Linked DNA regions of Oryzias latipes. The protein of the gene in region 1 interacts with the protein of each later gene in a biochemical or structural test. Links are inferred from orthologs where the notes say so. Each region holds a gene or a part of one and is shown on either strand. Other genes may lie near its edges.

The links.
Region 2: the proteins of myog (region 1) and csrp3 form a complex in vitro, tested with the Homo sapiens proteins (2 studies listed by BioGRID and IntAct, with this or other methods). The link is inferred for Oryzias latipes from reciprocal best matches to the Homo sapiens genes MYOG and CSRP3.

What each region holds. Positions count from the first base shown.
Region 1 is NC_019863.2:28,569,191-28,573,422, forward strand, and holds myog (myogenin), read right to left. Parts: upstream 2,801-4,232; 5' UTR 2,543-2,800; coding exon 2,015-2,542; intron 1,463-2,014; coding exon 1,363-1,462; intron 1,281-1,362; coding exon 1,162-1,280; 3' UTR 436-1,161; downstream 1-435. UniProt on the Homo sapiens protein: Acts as a transcriptional activator that promotes transcription of muscle-specific target genes and plays a role in muscle differentiation, cell cycle exit and muscle atrophy.
Region 2 is NC_019861.2:6,150,316-6,166,127, forward strand, and holds csrp3 (cysteine and glycine-rich protein 3), read right to left. Parts: upstream 15,550-15,812; 5' UTR 15,435-15,549; intron 12,577-15,434; 5' UTR 12,567-12,576; coding exon 12,455-12,566; intron 11,250-12,454; coding exon 11,078-11,249; intron 10,265-11,077; coding exon 10,135-10,264; intron 8,141-10,134; coding exon 8,047-8,140; intron 7,965-8,046; coding exon 7,891-7,964; 3' UTR 7,641-7,890; downstream 1-7,640. Other genes in the region: palmitoyltransferase ZDHHC13, read left to right, coding at 462-586, 677-739, 820-913, 1,059-1,142, 1,234-1,391, 1,550-1,647, 2,529-2,670. UniProt on the Homo sapiens protein: Positive regulator of myogenesis. Acts as a cofactor for myogenic bHLH transcription factors such as MYOD1, and probably MYOG and MYF6.

The DNA.
Region 1 (4,232 bases):
TGTAAACTGCTGCTCGACAACAGCCAATGAAATCCAAACGATCGTCTGGCAAACTCGTCTGGTCTCACATGGGCATCACCCATTCAGTTGCCATGGAAACGTGCTGCAGCGCAGTCTCTTGGCTGACTTACTCCTCATCCGAAGAGAGCACAGTACATGAACAGTGGTTTGATAGACGGCTGTGCTTTTTATAAATCTATTTATTTTACAGTTTTTTTCCAAGGTGTGTAAAGGTGTAATGTGCTATGTGGCAGCTATGAGTACTGTGTCTTTATTCCAGGTGTGAAACAATGCTGACAAATCAAGATTTTATTATTTGGCTATCCAAAAAAAGTGTACTGTATTTATGATTCAATGTAAACATGAGTAAAGTTGTTTTTTAAAGATTTTGGAGGTTGGTTTTGTTATAAATTCAGACATCATCACCAGGCAAAGTATTGAAAAGGTTTTTTATAGCAAGAATTGAAAGGAAAATATCACTTTTGAAAACATCTACAAATGCACAACAATCTTAGTTATAAAAGTCAAAAATAAGTTAGCAAAAAAATAAAAAATAAAATTGCAAAACCACTCTGTAGAAAAAAAAGGGAACATATTTACATCACTGGCATTTATAACCTGTTTAAATTAAGCAGATCTTGGTCAAAACTGCCATGGTACATATTGGCCCCACAAACAATCTCATGTTTTGTTTAAACATTTAAAATTCACACAAAAAGAATGGAAAAATTTGGGAAAGGTTTTGAAAAGAGAAACATCTAATTTAAGTAAAGTGAAGAACCAAGCTTTGTCATATGAATCTTTGATTCTGGAAGCAAGCATACATGGTAATTAGGTGTTTTGGTTCATGCAATAACATCCTTGAGTCTGACAGGTGAGCTCCTGTTATCTACAGCTCTGAACTATGGGATAAGGCAGGCAATAAGGAAAAGAGGTCTCATTGTGTAAAGGAAGAATTGGTTTTGGCTTGAAGACCTAAGGAACAATAAAGTTTAATACAAACCAATGACAAATTTTTATAATTTTGCACAAGATAAAACACTCAAATCAGAATAAAAAAAGGAAACCTAGGTTTTTTGTTGCAATATTTGCCAAATGTTCATTTTTTGTTGTGTTTGTGAAGTTGAGCATCTGCTTGGATGGTTCTGCAGGTTACAGGCTCTATTTGGGAATGTCCACAGAAAAGGTCACAGGTCCGTCAGCCGCAGAGATGCCTTCCACAATAGAAGTCAAGGAGCGCATGTTCCTCTGCTCTGGAGAGTCACCAACACTCAGAAGATCTGCAGACAAGACCGGGTTCCACAGTCAAAACCAGTGAAGGTGTTCTAGTGACACCTCATGGGACCTTTGAAGAGTACTCACCCTCGCTGCTGTAGCTTTGCGGGCATTGGTCTGGAGTGCTGCTCCACTCGGGGCTGCTGCAGCAGGTGCTGCCTGAACTTGGTTCGCTTGACGATGACACCTGTTGCCATGGACACGCACAGACAGAAGTTGCTGTCAGTCACTGTTTTAATGCAGCACAAAACCTCGCAGATAAACACTGAAGTAGCCTCACACACTCAATCACTAATGCATCCTGTGGTTTATCAGAAGCAAATTAAAGTTTCCATCTTAAATTATGGTCATTAATAAGCTGTCGGTGTCACTGCAACTGTCACTTTTGGTTGATATAAATATTTTATAATTACATAATCCCAAATGGTTTAAAAAAGCACACATACATGTATATTCTTATTCTTGTTTTTTAAACATTTGGAATTTATATCTAAATAAAAATTCCGAAACATCCACAACCATCGGTTTTAGCAGGTCTTACAATGGGTTCGCTCATCAAGTTGCGCCCTGAAAAGGTTTTTTATCTGAAACCTAATTTTTCCATCTCTTGTAGCCAAGTTTGTAGCTTCTTGTCTTCCTTTTTCCAAATCAGTCAAAGGTTTCTGTTCTTGCTTTTCTTTGGCTGGTTTTGCTCTCTGTGACTTCTCCCCTCTCCTAAACCTGGTTCCATCCTACTTACTCTTGGCTGGGCCGGGCTGGGTCTGTAGTGCAGTCCCTGCTGCCCTGTCTCTGTGTCCTGCTGGTTGAGGGAGGACACCAGAGCCTGCAGCCTTTCAATGTACTGGATGGCGCTCCGCAAGATCTCCACCTTGGGCAACCTCTGGTTGGGGTTCATCAGGGTGCTCCTCTTCAGAGCGTCAAAGGCCTCATTCACTTTCTTTAGACGTCTCTTCTCCCTCAGCGTGGCTGCTCTTCGACGGTCCATGGTCACCGTCTTTCTTTTACACAGCTTACAGGCCCATGGCAAGCACTGCCCAGGGCAGTGAGACTCTGAGTGAGGTGACAGACTGGATGGAGATGATTTGTCCTCAGGTGCTGGCACTCCAACACCTCCAGGGAGGCCTCCGCACAAACCCATTATGGAGTTTCTGTCCTGGTACCCAGTTTGGTCGTATGCCCCGGGCAGGCGAGAGGGGAAGTAGCTGTCCCCTCCTTCATAGAAGCGCTGGTCAGGAAAGAAGTAAGGATTGGTCTCGAAAAGCTCCATGGTGGGCAACTGTGGTCTAAAAGTGAAGGAGCAAGGATCCCGCTTTCCCTTAGGAACCACGCTTGACTCGGTCTTCTTCTGTCCTGCTTCTGGAGCTTATGTTGGAGTGTCCAAGTGTATGCTTGTCTTCCTCCTGGCCTGAGTTTGTGATGAGTGGAAGACGTGTGGAGAACAACTGGTGTGGAGCAACTGTAGGCTGGCATTTAAACCCCTCTGCCTGTTGCAGGATCACAGGGTTAAATTTAGCACTTGCCTCCAGAAACCTGACACGACGTTTAGCTGTTGCTGCACATCTACACTTCATATCTCTGTTGGGCCTTGCTCTCTAGGGCTTTAAGACATGTTGGTGTGTTTGCATGTGTGTGCCCTTCTGCGGTTCCATGTTACCCATTTGAGTCTTGAGAGACCAGGATATGATCAAGTTGCTGTGGAACAGGAAATGATAACCTTAGATCAAATGTATTTGTCTTAATAAGATAATCCCAGACTAGATTCCCCCTTCCTGCCACTAAACACCTCATTCAGGAGGACACTCTGGGTGCAAAGGGGACACATGCAGGGACAGTATGTTGTGGCAAGACATTGAGAGTTTGTTTTTGTTTTGTGATGGCCACCAGAAACAATGTGGGAGAATTGACATAACTGTAAACTGACAGGCGACATTAAAGCAATTGATATGAAGCAGGCTTCTCTGTCTCTGTAGAAGACAAGTCTTTACAGGCAGCTCAGGAAGTTAAGATTGAAGCTAACGCAAGCTCACTCTGGAAAAGGATGGGACAGTATTGAGAGGACCAAGTAGGAAGGAAGGAACGTCCTAAATTATTCCAGACAGTTCTGGCGTTAGCTTGGCGGGCGGGTGTTAATCCTTCCAGGATGTCTCTAACCTCTAAGTTCGCAAGTTAATTTCGACCAACCTTTCCAAACATGGACACACAACCAAAAACATTTTTATTCAACAGAGAAGCAGCTACGGAATGGGTTGTTGCATCTTTGCATCACATTTTGTTTTTTTCCATAGGAATTATCACCTGGCATAGGTTTTGCCTATATTTTGTGTCCTTATAGTGTATTTGCTGCATTTTTATACTATTTATCTGTTATTATCTGCTGTTTTGTTATCTATCTATCTATCTATCTATCTATCTATCTATCTATCTATCTATCTATCTATCTATCTATCTATCTATCTATCTATCTATCTATCTATCTATCTATCTATCTATCTATCTATCTATCTATCTATCTATCTATCTATCTATCTATCTATCTATCTATCTATCTATCTATCTATCTATCTATCTATCTATCTGTCTGTCTGTCCCACTGCCCATCTAGTCAATCCAGGGCTATCTGCCACATGTTTCTATGCTGCCTGATACAACGAATACGTCCAGGAAAAACAAGTCTGGACATGACAAACCTTAAAAAGCCCACTGCAGTCATGACAGAAATCCATTTAAGCGTGTCATCTCGAGGGACGTGGCGTCTCATTAAAGCGAAGTAGACGTTAATTTGTAATTTTCTCTCCTTTGTTGTTTACAGAAGTGAGTCGCTGTCGGTCTCAAAATAGAAGAAAAGTTTCAGTTCTGGACAGGCAGATGTCTACTTTTATGCTTGTCATCTAGTCTTGAGGTTTGGGCTCTGGTTAATGCAAAGTAGGATGCTGGCACAGGACTGCAGAGGGCTGTCA
Region 2 (15,812 bases), on another chromosome or scaffold:
CTTTGCATACGTTGGATAATGCTAACAGGCTGGCATAGTCTATGTAATTCATTGGCCTCAGTGAAAAAGGAATTAAAAATTAAAAAAAAAATTCTACCATGAGCTACAAAGACAGGTTTTAGCTAATTTTTAGCTTGGAAATATTCAAAATAAATGAAAATAATAATAATAATCAATTTTATTTATTTGGCGCTTTTCTCGGAACTCAAGGTCAACGTATGTAATAGTCACAGTAAAACAATAGCACAGCAGTAAAGTGTACAGTAAAATATGCACTTGTAAAAAAATAGGCCAAATTATTTCTATTTAGAAACTTTTTTACAACATTCAAATATGATAAATATTTTATATTAAAGTCCTTAAGTTCCTACCATGAAGTGCAGAAACTTGTATTTGTTTTTCCAGGGTTTTTAGCTAGTTTCAATGGATCCGTTCCTCTCTCCTTAACCTCACCCTGTCACATGGGCTGAGCAGCACAGTTCAGATTCTGTTCACTCTGAGTGCCACTGCACTGCTTTACTACTACATCCGGACCTGCAGGACAGACCCTGGTTTCATCAGAACAACAGAAGAGAAGAAGAAAATGGTGGGAAGCCAGTAAAGACCTGCAGGCCGGCGTAACCTCCGACCTCTTAACTGTGACGGCTGTGTGACCCAGTCGTGTTCTGTGTTCCAGAATGTGGTGGTGTTGGCCGAAGCTGGCTTTTTGGATCCAAGGGTATTCTGCACCTCTTGTATGGTGAGACTGACGGTGCAAAACTCATTTTTAATGAAAAAGAAAGCAGCCACTGGTTGTTGACGTGGTTGTGGTGTTTGCAGGTGAGAAAGCCACTGAGGGCTAACCACTGCTTCAGCTGTGACGCCTGTGTGGCAAAGCAGGACCACCACTCTGCCTGGCTTAACACCTGCATCGGTATGACACACAAGCACTTTCTATTTTTACAAGACCTGATCAAATGCAGCAAGTCCATTTTTACCCTTTAACTCTGAAGAGCTAAATGATTAATGTTATCACAAGGGTTTGTAGTTATGACGGGAAGCGTTTTGTGTTCTTGAAGGTGCAAGGAACCACCATTTCTTCATCCTGTTTCTGCTCTCGCTGGTGTTGACGGGGTGTTGGATGCTGTTCGGCTGCGTCTCCTGTGAGTGGCTGCACAGCAGCGTAACCCAATCAGAGGCTTTTATTTGTGTTTTTTTCTTGTTTTGTTTTTCTAACGTGCTCCATGTCTTTAGACTGGTCCACTCATTGTTCACTGCACTATGAGGATCAGGGCCTGTGGAGCGCGGCCTCAGCTCTGTTCGGCTGCTCTCCTTGGGTCCTCGCCATCTTCCTGCTCTCTCTTTATCACACCTGCTGGTCTACCTTGGTCTTGATGATCCAACTCTATCAGGTAATTCCCAAATATCATGTGATTGGGAAATAGCAGAAAAGTAGAGTCAGTGTTGCTTTATTGGATGGTTGGATCCAAACATGTCAAATGAGTCATTTGGTTCTTTTTTCTGCAACATTTGATGCTCTGTGATTGTTTGTTTTGGGTTTTTTGTGCAGATCGCCTTCCTGGGGATAACTTCAGCAGAAATTCCAACTTTAAGGTTCCAACAAAGGAAATTCAGACCCTCTGCCTCTTTGAAACAAAATCCTTTCAAGTAAGTCAATTGTTGTGAATTTTCTGTTCCCACCTGTTCCATTGGTGTGGGAGGGTTTTCCAACCTCGCTGCTCCGCCCCTTTCATAGTTACTAGAAACTGTTTTTTTTCCAAGAAAGCTGAGTTTAACAGGATAAAAGACACCAAAACAGAAGATAGCTGGTTCAAAGCTGGTCCATCTAAAAGCAGGACTTCATCTCGTTTAAAGTTCCAATCCTCCCTGGATCTATTTTCAAAGTGGTCTTTTTATCACAATTATTCCGTTCTTAGTAAAACATTTTAAATGTTTTGAAGGTTCTAGTTTCTGCAGAGCAGGAGGAGTTCATTATACATTGACCTCTGAGTTATGGGTGGGACTGTTTCCCATCATCCCTTTGTTTACACTCTCTCCTGTTAGCTTACAGCCACTCACATCCCCAAGGTAACATTAGCAGAGCAAAAAAAGGCAAGCAACATTGGAGCTATCAAGATGTACAGTTTAGATTCAGATTAGTCCAGATTCCAGCTCAGACCAGGACACAAAGACCTTCATGGATCTGTTCGTCTGACAGTGGATAAATCAGAATGGAGCAGGGCAGGGAGATTGTGGCCTGCTGACTATAGTTTGTTCATAACAACTACTAGCTTTTTTCATCAGCTCCTGATTTACAACAATTTTTATAAAGAAATACTCAAACATAAATTTAATCTCAAATTTCTTTATTTGTTCTCCATCATGAGAAACATGCTACAAAAACATGTTAAAACCACCAAAAACACATTGGAATGGGTCTTTAATTCATGTAGTGTAATGTTAGTGTAACTGCAGTGAAAGCTTTCTGTCAGTTGTTTGAATCCTGGTTCAAAGACGTCCTGTGTTCTCCTCTCTTCGTCCTCTTACAGCATGGGTGTGGTGCAGAACCTGGTGTCGTTCTTTCAGCTGCGCTGTTGTGGATTCTGCAAGCCAGTTGTTACGGACTGGACGCAGCAGCAGCACCCGCCGCAGTGTGACCAGTTTTTGTTCGATCAAGGCAACATGGTCTGACCTCCTCCCCCCTATCCCTCAGGGTCAGACTCTGGTTCTGGACCAAAAGCACAGAATGTATTTATTCTTGTACGTGTTGGTTCCTCTCAAAGGGAGGCTGTGGTACTGTGGGAACACAAACCAACATGTGGACTCTGTCATTCAGCTGATCTCTGTACAGACTGCTGCTGCTGCCTTATACTTGACCGAAGTGAGGAAAGGGAACATCAGATCCATGGCAACGTGGATGAATAACCATTAAAGTCCTAAGCTGTAATTGAAAGGATGTGCTGTTTATATATTACAGAAAATCTAAAGCCTATTTTTATCATCCGTTCTGACATTTAAAAACAATCTTTGTATGTGTACGATGGTTTTATCACTTTTGTAAGAGTTGCATGTGTTTATTAACAACCACTATGATGGTTCAATAAAGCAACTTTGTGCCTGTTTTTGGATCAGCCTCTGCCTGGAGTAACTCATCAGCAAATCGTTGCCTTCTAGCTCCTCCCTTTAGGGGGCGACACAGTAACTCATCTACTTACAGCATGTCTGTCGTCCTCGTCAACACTGACCACCCTCAAGTCCTTAAATGTATTTATTTATTTGAACTTGTCCTGTCCCACACCTGAGCAAACAGATCCGAGCTGAAGGCCTCTTGTGTTGGACAGATGTTTAACAGGAGGTTATGAATCTTCACACGTGAAGTTCATATTTGTATACAGTGATCCCTCGCTATAATGCGGTTTGTTTTTCACGGTTTCGCTACTTCACGGATTTGCATCGTGCATTGTGTTCTGTATTCTGATTGGCTAAAAAGTCACTCAGCTTCTTCTCTACCTGTGCATCAATAATGTTGCAGTTTAATATGTACACATAAGTAAATCAGCTTGCCAAATTTACAACATGATGTACGTGCAAATCATCTTGCAATTTCGAGTTTCTCTAAAACCCATAGAAAAAAGAGCAACAACTGCCTATCACTATGTTCTTCCCCCGAACAAACACACCTGCACCGCTGGCTTTAAAAGAAGAAAACACTGCAGAGCGGAGTCAGGATGCAGCGGCTCAGTCTGAATAGCAGTGAAATACACCTGAGTCACTATTTGTCCAACTGTACTTTGTATTTTTGTTTCATAATCATTTTAAATTTTCTCCCGTTTAATCCAATACTCGGGTCGCGGTGGGCGGGGCTAATCTTCGCGATTTGAAGCCTTCTGTTCACATTGATGATTAAAATTATCATTTGACAGTACAGTACAGAAGTTATTTGTTGAAAAAAAGTTTCTAAAGTACTTTTATTTGTGAAACAAATGCTTGAGCCTGTAAAATGGTTTGTTCTTTCTTTTCAATGTATAATAGAGTATTTAATTGTATAATAATTGTAAAAAAAAAAATACAGGTTTCTACTTCACGGATTTTACCTATCACGGGTCCTTTTTGGAACGTAATCCCCGCGAAAAACAAGGGTTTACTGTAAACCCTTTTTGCATTTGAGGCTAAGCTTTCTTTATAATTATATTTATATACATTCCTTGTTGGACAGAAAGAAGATAAAGGGAGAAAGTTGGATGTTACAGATAGAGGGGGGGTCGTTAATACAGAGTCACAACATAAGAGTGTCATAAGTATATGGGGGGTGCCCCCACCCCCAGATGCAGGCCGGGACCACTCCTCTGGCTGTGGCTTTATTTGTTTTTTTTTTTTCTGTTTTGTGTATCTTGTTTGTATCAGAGTGGGACCTCTGTGTTTTTGTGGATCGTTGTGTGTGTGTGTGTGTCTGTTTGATTATTTTCAGGTGTGGGGCTGAGAAGGTGTGGCTTCCATTGGACCCAAGCTGATGGAGGCAGCCTTTGAAAGCACTAGGTAGACCTCCAACCTGCGAAAAGGTGACTTTCTGCAACCTGCCGCCACTGCAGCTTGGTGCTCTACGCCACCTGCTTTGTAGTTTGTGTTGGACGATTGCACAGTTTTAGTCTTTTGTTCGTAGTTACGGTATGTTTAAGTGAGGCTTTAGGGGTGAACTGCCTTTTACTTTCACATCTGTTCTCTCCTGTTTGTTAGTAGGGACTTTAGTGTTTTGTCATTGATTTCCCTTTTCTTTCATTCACAGGTTCAGATTTATTTTTCTTGAATGTATTAGTAGACATGCTTTGTGAGTGTATGACACTTTTTTCCCAACACTGCTATGCTTTTAACAAATTTAGCTCTGACTTTCTTCATTTGTGGCTTCCAGCTTATGGTCCATAATTACTCCAAGGAACTTAGTTTCAGTCACTCTTTAACCACATGAATATTGATGGCAACTTTTACTTCCAGATTTGCAGGAACGTGGCAACTTTCAAAAATCATGAATTAGTTTTAACACTGAGTGAGAGTTTATTTATGTCAAACAATTGTTTTAGTTTCCCTAATTAAAACTATTTACTAGTTTTACAACTTTCCTGAGATTCTCCCCTGTACATACTATAATTGTGTCGTCGGCATATAAAAAGTAATTAAGTGTATTTGACACCATGTGTATGTCATTTAGATATAGGATGAACAGTTTTAGACCTAATATTGACCCTTGTGGTACTCCAGTTGTCCAGTTGTTTTCCAGTTGTACAAACTGTTGCCTGTTTTTAATCCTACTGTTGAACTAAATTAGTACCAGTTCTTGTTTTCCATATCTTTGCAATTTGTTTTAATAAAATGTTATGATCAATAGTGTCATATTACTGGGAATTTCTGATTTGAAGACCAGAAATAAAATAAAAAAAACTCTGGGGAAAAAAGTATTTTGTTAACATTGAGGAAGCCAGAAAAGCGCTATACAAGTTCACAGCATTTACCATTATTCATTCTGAAATGCTCAATGTATACTTTTAAATTTAAGTGTTATGGGGAAAAAAATAACACAGTTTTCTTATTTTAATCACAGAAGAGTAGCCCTTAAGTGGCCCTTAAGTCTCTGAAGGTCGAGTACCCACAGGTTCACAACGGCTTAGGAAGTGCTTGTAATTTAGCCAATTACAATCAAGAAATCATAGCTCTTAGAATTTACGTATCATTGAGTTTAGGACAGGAGCCTGCAGACAGGTAGAAATTTGAATGTGGGGCCACATTTGGCCAGACTTCAAGACGTGCCTTCTCTAGACGTATTTACTGGTAGCTCCAACCTCAGCATCCTTTTATCAACATAATCACTGTTCCTCCTCTGCATTTATCTCCAGAACATCTGCCGTGATCTGTTCCTTTTGATGGATTCATTCCTGATCCATCCAACATCTTCACCTCTGCTACATCCAGCATCTATCTCCTGTCTCTGCATTAGAGTCTCTAAACTAGGGCTGCTCATTCCTGGTCCTCGAGGTCTACCACCCTGACTGTTCTCCAGATCTCCAAGCCCTGCTAGCTGCTGATTAGCTCAATCAGATATCTCCAGATTCTGATTGAATGAACACACCTGGTCCAGGTAATCAGCAGCCCTGCTCTAGACCAACAACATGGTCGCTATCACCACAATCTTCTACACCTCTCCTTTTGTCCTTGGTGACACTCTTTTTGAGAAACCTTCCTCCACCTGTTTCATCCTCTTTATCTCTTCCCTACACCCTGTTGCTCTGGATTGTAGACCCTAAGTCCTTAAAGTCCTCCACCTTCTTCTCATCTGTTCCCTGTAACCTTCCTGTTCCGCTTGAGTTCCTCTCATTTACTTACAGACTGTTCTGCTGCCGCTGACCTTCATTCTTTTCTTTTCCAGAGCAAACCTCCACCTCTCTAGATGTTCCTCCACCCGTTTCCTTCTCTCACTACAGATCACAATGTCATCTGCAAACATCATGATCTGCATTAATTGTGGTTCTAATTGAAACCCCTCTGTCACACACTACACCTGTTCTACAGCTCTCATACATGTCCTGCACAAATACAGTTCCTTCTCTTCGAATGAAACATACATACGGATGCCCTCATCCTAGCTTCCACTACTCTTCCCCATAACTTCATGGTATTACCCATCAGCCTCACTCCTCGGCACGTCTGCCTTTTTCTTAAAATGGAACCAGAACTCTTCTCCTCCATTCCTTCTCATTGTCTCACTCTCCGAGATCTTGTTGAACATTCCAGCCAGAAGGTCAACTGCCACTCCCCCTAAACACCTCCATACCGTCACAGGTAAGTTGTCAACACAAACAGCCTTTCCACTCTTCATTCTCTTCAATCTCTTCCTCACTTTATCCTGGTTGATCTTTGGTGCTTCCTGTTCTATAATGTCCACCTCTTCTCCTTTTTTTATGGTATTCTTCTGATTCATCAACTATCTGATCGGAAGTTTGTAGGTTTGGCTCCTGCCTTGCCTGCCCATGTGTTGAAGTGTCCTTGAGCAGGACACTGAACCATACGTTTTCTCCGGCGGTTATAGGTTCGTGCCGGTGTTCAGCAATGGAGCAGCCATCAGTATGTTTATGTGTGTGTGAATGTGACTGTAAAGCCCTTTGGACCTTTGAAAAGTGCTATATACGTCTACGCCATTTAACATTTTACCATTTGTCCTTGATCCCCCTGACCTGCTGCACATCCTTCCATTTCTGTTACTCTGCCTCACCTGTACAGATTATTCCCTTCCTCCTTTGTGTCAGAACTGCAAGTTTTAACACGGCCTTTGTTAGTGTATTTTTTCACCTTCACCTTCAACTTGTGCTGCATCTTCTCTGCTACTGTCTTCGGTCCTCTCAGTGTCCCACTTTTTCTGAGCAAACCTTTTCCTCTTAACACCCAACCCCTGAACTTCTTCATTCCACCCCCACATCTCCTTATCTGCTTTCCGCATTCCAGATGACACACTGACCACCTTCCTCCCAGTCTCCCTGATGTTTTTAGCTACTTAGTTTCAGCTTAATGATTTATAGAGTTTGGCTTTGGATGGCTGTTACATTTTGTTGTTCACTTATTGCTATAATATCTGTAATTGATTTTCACACATGACCCCAGATTAAAGGAAGACTGAACCGATTGTAGCAAGCATCTTTAATGATGTAATCCATTGTGCTGCTACTAGCTGGGACAACATGCAACAAACATATTCCACCCACTCTGGACTCTAAAAAAGATCTCAGTTTGCATTTGAAACTTTTTTTTTCATTCATTGAATCCACTTAGAGACATTTCTGTCTTGAATGCTCTTTGTCTGGTGTAGCGATCATTAGCTGGTGTTAAAGTGAAGGACGTGCCTCCACAAAGACGGCAGTCCTACGGGGTTCACTCTCGTTCTTCCAACATGGCAGCGTTTCCTAATCCAAAGCCTTTTGGACCAAAGTTTTTTGCGTAACAAACTGAAAAGGAAATAAGATCAGACGGCTCCTTGAGTTCCAGGCAGCGTTTCTTCAGACCAACAAATGGATGTTCTCTACGAACCTTTGCAGTACAGCTCTCCATCCTTGTCAGTCACTGTGGTCGACTCCAGGCTTTTGCCACAGAGAGCGCAGCGGAAGCAGGTTTTATGCCACGCCTGTACACAGAAAGTTATGGCAACGCAAGTTGGATTGTTTGATTTTTCATCTGACAAGTACCATTTCAAGACCCACTCCGATCATATTTTTTTCCTTCAAAAGAGTGCCCAATGGCATTTTAATTATTATTTTTTAGCAAAAATCAAGAAACCTGTCTTGTTTTCTACGACATAATTTCTGCAGAGCAGCAGTCGATCAGAAATTCACCTCTGAGTCGTGGGTGGGACTGTTGGCGCCAAGTAAGCCTGCCCCCACTTCCCATTGTCTATCTGTTAACACTCTCTCCCGCTAGCTTACAGCCCCCTCACACCCCCGCCTTAACATTAACCGCTGCAGCAAAAATGGTAAGTAATATCAGAGCTATCCAGCAGTACAGTTTTAGCCAGATTTCAGCTCAGACGAGGAAAACAATGACGTTCATGGATCTATTTGTCTGGAAGTAGATGAATCAGAATGAAGCAGAGCAGGGAAACTGTGGCACACTAAGTGGATTTTATACATCACAAATACACTCTTTTTCAAAAGAATTTAAACGTTTTTCCACATCTGCTTCTGTTTTACAACAGTTTTATGTGTAAAGAAATACTCTTAGCTCTTAAGCTTACTGGTAATTTTATTTATAAATGTCCATCTTATGAAAAAATGCCACAAGAAGTTGTTAAAAACACAATTTTTTTCTAAGTGGGTAAAAAAAGGTTTTTCAAACCAGTGCAGAAAACCAAATTCGTTCATTTGTGAGACATTTCTGCCTCTCCTTCTTCAGAGGTAATTTTTACACTTTTTTTTTTTTTACCTCTCATCGTTTAATAACTCTATTTTTCTTTAGCTTTACAGGTCCAAAAAGACTAGTTTAGGTAATGAAATCCCACAATTTAAAGCAATCACATACAAGTACAACAATTTACAAATGGCTTACTGTATGCATATTCCAGAAAATAAAAAATCTAACTTAACTCTACACATCTGACTGATGGATTTTTCTGCTTTCACAACCTGGAAAATATTTTAAACTTCACTACATTGAAAACTGAAACACTGTCAAATCATCAAATCTATACTCTTTGATCATCATCAAAGAGTATTTATTTTATTTTGATATCAAGTATCAAACAGTTTTCCTACTGTCACTGGAGAGAAATGTGCAGGAGTATCAGACAGTCTGGTCTCAAAGTCCAAGAGCTGAAATACTCCAAACCGGAGATAGATGGAGCCATTTGGTCACGAGAAGTGGCCCACACAGCTGGCTGAGGCCAGGGATGCCTTTAACATACCGTACTTGTCTACGTTTCTTTGTTTTCCAACCCTCTGAGAAAATCCTCTGGGGTCCACGTTCAAAGAGCTCCACCAGAACAGCAGAAAACTATATTTAAAAACACTTTAATTCTAATTAGCTGATACTTCCCTATGTTCAAAATTTACACTTTTATCTGCCAGATCTGCCAAAATTCTCAGCATATGAAAAAAAAGGATTTGCTGACTTTGTCATGTTTTTTATTTGCTGTTTTACATTAATTCAAAGTAAAGTAGGGTTTTCATTTGCATCAAATAATTCTTTGGTCAGAAATGATCTCTTTGAGCATTGTGGGTTTCGTCAACAGAGAAGTTTGGATCACATGTGTCGGCTTCCAGCCACTAAAACTGTCTGGTCATCTTAAACGAGTGTGTGTTTGTGTGAGCGTGTGTGTGTGCAGGAAAAAAGATTTAGGATTGGAATTCCTGAAAATCTGTACCAGATTATGAAAAATTATGTGTGTCTGATAAATAAGACTTGGAACAAGATTAATTTCACAGAGTGTGCTAATGACTTTTGTATATGTTTTGGTTGCATTCAGCAGTTGAGAATTTTCTCTACGTGTTTGTTCCAAAACCTTTTGGTTTGGAGGAGGAACATGAAAGCTGCTGGAATCAATAACTGTTAGCTCTGGGGATTGTTGTAAATGCACATAAAAATACTGATAGACCGAAAACATCCGGAGTCAGAGGGAGTGTTTACCTTTCCTGCTCCCATCACCTTCTCTGCTGCGTAGACAGCTTTGGAGCAGCGGGGGCAGTGGTCTGATCCCCCAAGCTTCTGTGAAAGCTTATTGGTGCTGGGGTTGGAAGAGACCGGACGGGGCTTAGATCTAGACAAAAATGGTGGGCCCAGTTAGGTTTTAAAGAACGAACATGTGACTCTGCATCTTTGGTTACAATTGCAAAACATGAAACGGATCAGCTAAAGTTCAGATGTCCCGTTTGAAGCTTTGTCTGTATACGAGAACTGGAGTGAGGATGACGTCACCCAGCTCCAACCAGAGGAAGTCAATTCAGTCGCCATTTTTTTCGATACAGACGCCACCATGAACCCAGACAACGTCAGAAAGCAGTGATTGGTCTGAGTCAGTCTAAATCATTATTTCTATGGTAACAACTCTCAGCAATTAGAAGGGAGCTTGTTGAAACACAAAACACATTGACACCTTTGACTTGACAGTAGGCTACATGAAATCTGTCAATCAAATGTTTTGAACGTTGGACATGGGGGCCTGCAGATACTTCATGCTTTATTGAGGCATCTGACTAGTCAGTTTATACCTTGAATAACTTGCCATAAAGGAAAATGTCATTTAAAAAATGAGGATCAAGAACATGTTAAAAAAAGGATCAGACCAACAATAGTTATGACCAATAGACTGACTGACAGCTGTTTAGTTTTTCTATAGAAGTCTATGGGATTTTGGCTTCTTGGAGCCAGCAGGTACTTCCTGTTTGGAACCCCAGGGGGGAGGGGTCACTCCGTCCAGTTCTCATCTACAGTCAATAGTTTGAAGTGTTTGCTGTCATGGTAACAGCCAAAGAAAAGGTTTGTAGAGCTCCTCCACCAAATGGTCTTTTTTTTTTGTTTATATCTACAGTAAAATATAAACAGGGCTCTGCAATCAACCTTCTTTACGTACTCTTGTGGCTGCAGGTCTTCTTCCGGTCCTGCAGGATCAGAGCTCAGAGCTCCTGCTCCTTGACCGTATCCATAGCCTTTTGGTCCATACTTCTTGCCATAACAAGTCTTGCAGTAAATCTCTGAGTCATGGGCTGCAACGGTGGTACTGTCCAGCCCTTTTCTGCAACTCACTGCATGAAAGTAACATGAATAGTCCCTCATGAAACCTGGCACAGAGGAATCACTCCATTACCCTGAGTGAGGAATGCCATGAAGGGGGTAATGGAAGTTAAATAAAGCTGACAGCCAGCTGCTTTTATCATGGAACAGCAACACATGATGTCTTGTGTTGCTATTTGTAGAAAGAGAGAGGAGTGTGAGGTAAATGCTGGAGAAAAGATGACCACTTAGCCGATGGATGAGCTTATCGAAAAGGTCTTTTAGAGTTTCCACTGGAACAACATGTCAGTCGGTTATCCAGTTACCTAACAAGCCAGAATGTTAATGTCTCTGCACAAGCAAGTGTTCAATTAATACAGAGATTTAGCAAAAGCTTGGTTGCAGAAGGTTTAAAAACCCGCAGGAGGAATTTACAGCGTTGCTAAAAGGATTTTTTTTTTGAATATTCAAGGTGACTACGTCTTCCTGAGGTCAAAGGTCAATGAAACTTTGGTTGTGGTTGGAGATTGAAGCTAGTGATATGTGTGTGAAATTTTCTGAAGATTGCTTAAACAAAAGTTTTTTCCCTATATTGCAGGAAAATGTGAAAATCACAAAATTTGACACTTTGCCACAAAATGGCCGCCAAACCGTAGGTCCCGTGTCCATCCCTTAATAATTTTAAAACCTCCTTTGGATCTCCCCAACACGTCTGCTGGGAGATAATGAATGGGGTCAAAGAATTTTTGACCCCATTTTTTACGGTTTCGCCCACAATTATGTCGTCATTTTTTCGTGTGTGTGTGTGTGTGAGGGGGTGGTTCACTTTTCCCAAAAATCATTTTCACTGGGTACTAGTTGCGTGCAAATTTTGGTGAGTTTTGGAATATGTGCTGGGGGTTACATTTTTGCTAAATCACACTGTAAGAAAGAAGAATTGTGAACACAAAGTGATATTGGACTCCTGCGGGACAGAACAATAATAATCAAGACATAAAATGCTAAACTGAAAGTGAGGGGAAAAAATTTAAAAACTCATAATAAACTAATTAAACACTTAAATAATTAAATGGACGGAAATTTTAGATGAGAGAAGCTCTAAAACAGTGTCCAGAATATTTCTAATTTTTCTCTTTGATCTGAGACAACAATGAACTTTGATCAAATCCTGGGGAAATATTTCTACCAGATGAGACACTGACAAGTGAAACCATTGCAACAAAGAACATTTTCTCACTGCAGATGAAGCAGGTTTTGTGGAAGCTCCTCCCATTGCACTGGATCTCCTCAGCATGGTACACAGTCTTCATACAGGCTGCACAGGAAGCTCCTCCTCCCCAGTTAGGCATCCCAAAGCAGCTTGAAACAAAGACAAACGATCGTATTAGTCTACAAACTCTTTTTAAATTCAGGAGTAGTTGTGCTTTGGGCGTCTTGACAGTTCTAAGCAGAGCAGTGACACACAAAAACCTTAAAAGATTTAGTGAGTGACATTATTTTTTCTGATTTCATGCCAAAAATATTCAGTTGAGCATAACAGGACTGGGATGAGAATAAGGAGCTCCAGGTTTGAGGCCATGGTTCTGAGCCTGAAGCAGTGGAGGCCCGCATGCTGGTGCAACATCTTGTGTCGGTTTGTCAAGCAAAAAATAGTGTGATGAAGAAAAAGTCCCTGAAGGGGGCGCCACATTGAATCCTCTGCCTAAATCTAATCCTCTCCTCTGCATTGTCCTCGTTTACACCAACCACCCCCATGTCCTCCTGTTCTCTACATCCATGAACCTCCTCTTTGGTCTTCCTCTCTGTGCTCAGCATCCTTTTCCCAACATCACCATTGTCCCTCCTCTCAACGTGTCCAAACCATCTCTATCTGAGACATAGAGGGTCGTAGGGAGGTACGGCTGCATCTGAAAGGGAGTGCGGGTGTGTCATACACCCACCTCAAGGGAAGTCATAAAAATGTATTGTCCGATTGTGTGTGTGTGGTAGGCGTATCGTGAAGTTTCATAAGGATAATGTAAATTGCACCAAAGTTAAGGCCCGTACACACCGGGACGAATATTCGCCAGGCGTTATTCGCCAGCGTTTTTCGCCACGTTTTTTGTGTTCACACCCAGGCGATTTTCGCTGACGGTGAGCCGAGCGAACATGCAATTTCATTCCCTGACATTAGATGGCGCTTAATGTAAACAGAAATACTCCTGTACACAAGGTGGCGCTGCGCAACTTTACGATTCTTAAAGTCGCTTTTCACTCAGAAGAAGAGAGCAAGTATTTACGCGCTTGTCAGAATAATACAAAGAAAACATGAATATTTCAAGCACCAGTAGCTCCAACTGGTACTTGGTAAGGGGATATTTAAGAATATCCGTCATTATTTCTTTGCGGCAGTGTAGACGCTACTTGGCGTCTATCTTCTTCGCTGGTATGTGTGCTCAGCAAGGCAGTTTTGTGTTTGAGCGCCCCCAAGTTGTGTTTTACTGTAACTTCAGAAGCTCCAGACACGTGTGCAAAAGCGCCATTCTCATTGGTCGAATAGATTTCGACGCGTCGAAAAAAAAAAACGAACCCGAGGCGTTTTTTTTTTTGACGCTTTGGCGCGTGGCGTTTTTTCCCGTCGGTGTGCACACTCTCATTGGTGCCCTTTGTTAGTCACGAGGCGTTAAACGTCGGCGAAAATCGCCGGCGAAATTCGTCCCGGTGTGAACAGGCCTTTAGGGTGATGCTGTTGTACGATGTCCTTACGCCAAACTCTAATCATTAGTAAGGTGGGAGTACCTGGACCCCTACCGACTCATGCAAATGCTGCAGGCACGGGGTGTGCAGATAATACCTAACGGCCCATAGGAAGCCAGTGGAATGCTTACAAACCACACTTTGTCTAATTTCCTCAATTCTACAATTTAGGCTGCATGCACTTCTCACGTGGACAGCACTAATGTGCTCCTCGTGGGCCGAGCAGGATTTGGATGGTTCAACTAATGAAAAATCGTACATGCCTGCATCTCACCTACTTCCCCCTTCCTTGCTGGAAGGGGGAAGTGAAATGTCACCTATATCATGCCCGTAGAAAAAAACCATGCTGACCGAGTAGTCCAAGTGGTCAACAATCTTAAAATTTTGTGCAGGGCACCTGCATGCCCCGCACAGGTTCACCCATTTTTCGCTGGCAGACAGCCTGTATCCACCCGTAAGGGCAGTCGTGACTAAAGTCAGAGAGCTCCAAAAGAACTGCTCAGTCAGCTCCCACCCTCACCTGGCTGAACTCAGGTCACTGAGGACCTGAGTTCAGCCAGAAACCAGGAATTTTCTGTCTTAACAATACAGGGAGAAAAAAATACTGAGCGAAGGAGAAATGGGCCATTCTGAAGTCATCCCTAAAAGCTGTAACCGCCTTAAATACGTAACTGAGGGAAGATGTTTCTAAGTTGCTGCCATCAATCTGCTTTGTTTCTCCGTCATTGTTTTTCTGACTTTTCACATTTTTTAATTATTTATTCCCTAATCATTAAAAGTGTTTTTAGTCTTAGTTTTTTAAAATATATTCTGTATGTTTTACTTTGGCCCTGAGACAGACTGGGGACTTGTTCAGGATGTACCCTGCTTCGCCAACAGTAGCAGGGATAGGTTCCAGCAACCCCATGGTATTAAGCAGGTTAGACAAATGGATGGATTGATGCTTTAGTTTAGACTTAACAAAAGTAGTCAAAAGGAGATCATAACTAATTATTCTCTAAGTAAAAAAAACTGCTTTCTTTAGTTCCGTGGTTTTATGTAATTTTCAAAATGTTTTTCCCATTTAAGCCACAATATTTATATTAAGTTTTGACGCATCATCAGTTATCCATAGACTTTTGTGAAACCTGAAAGAGCCACGTTGCTGAACTGAGGCTTCTCGTCTGGTTTTTGGGCTCTCACCTCCTATCAGAGGTATCTGACACGTCACAGGGCTGGAAAAGTGCATTTCAAAATAAAATCATCATTTTGACATCATACAATGAATGGTAAGTCAGCAAATCCTGTGGTTTTATCAGGGACAAAGATAGACCTCAACTGAAAATGAACTGTAATCTTGGTTTTTACATGAAGCAGAAAAGTCAAAAATCAGGAAATTGTTGTCATTATGAAGAGAAAACTTAAATTGAGCGTGCTATTTCCAATGGACTGCAATATGCTTCTAAAAGATAAGCTTGAAGAGAAAGAGACATGCGCCTTACCTGTAGTCTCTGTCAGAGTGCTTTGCTTATGACAGAGAGGTTTAAATACCGTCTTCACATCAGCAGCACTCTGGCAACGCCTTGATGAAACTATCCTCTCAAAATAACATGTGACGGAGAGGAGGCCCCCCTGACCCTTTATCCCTATCTGAATAAGGCTTGAACATCAGCCACTGGAGCATTTGTGCTGCATTCACTGACCCATGCTGGGAGCTCTGACTTGATAACTGTGGCTCAAAGGCCATCTGCCCTGAATGCCACAGTATCATGGTATAAACATAGACTGTGCTGCAAGCCTAAAGAAACACTGTTTTACAGGAATCAAAAACTGCTGCTGAGTTTGTGGAAAGTATTCTCCTCCAGGCATCCTCTTATTTA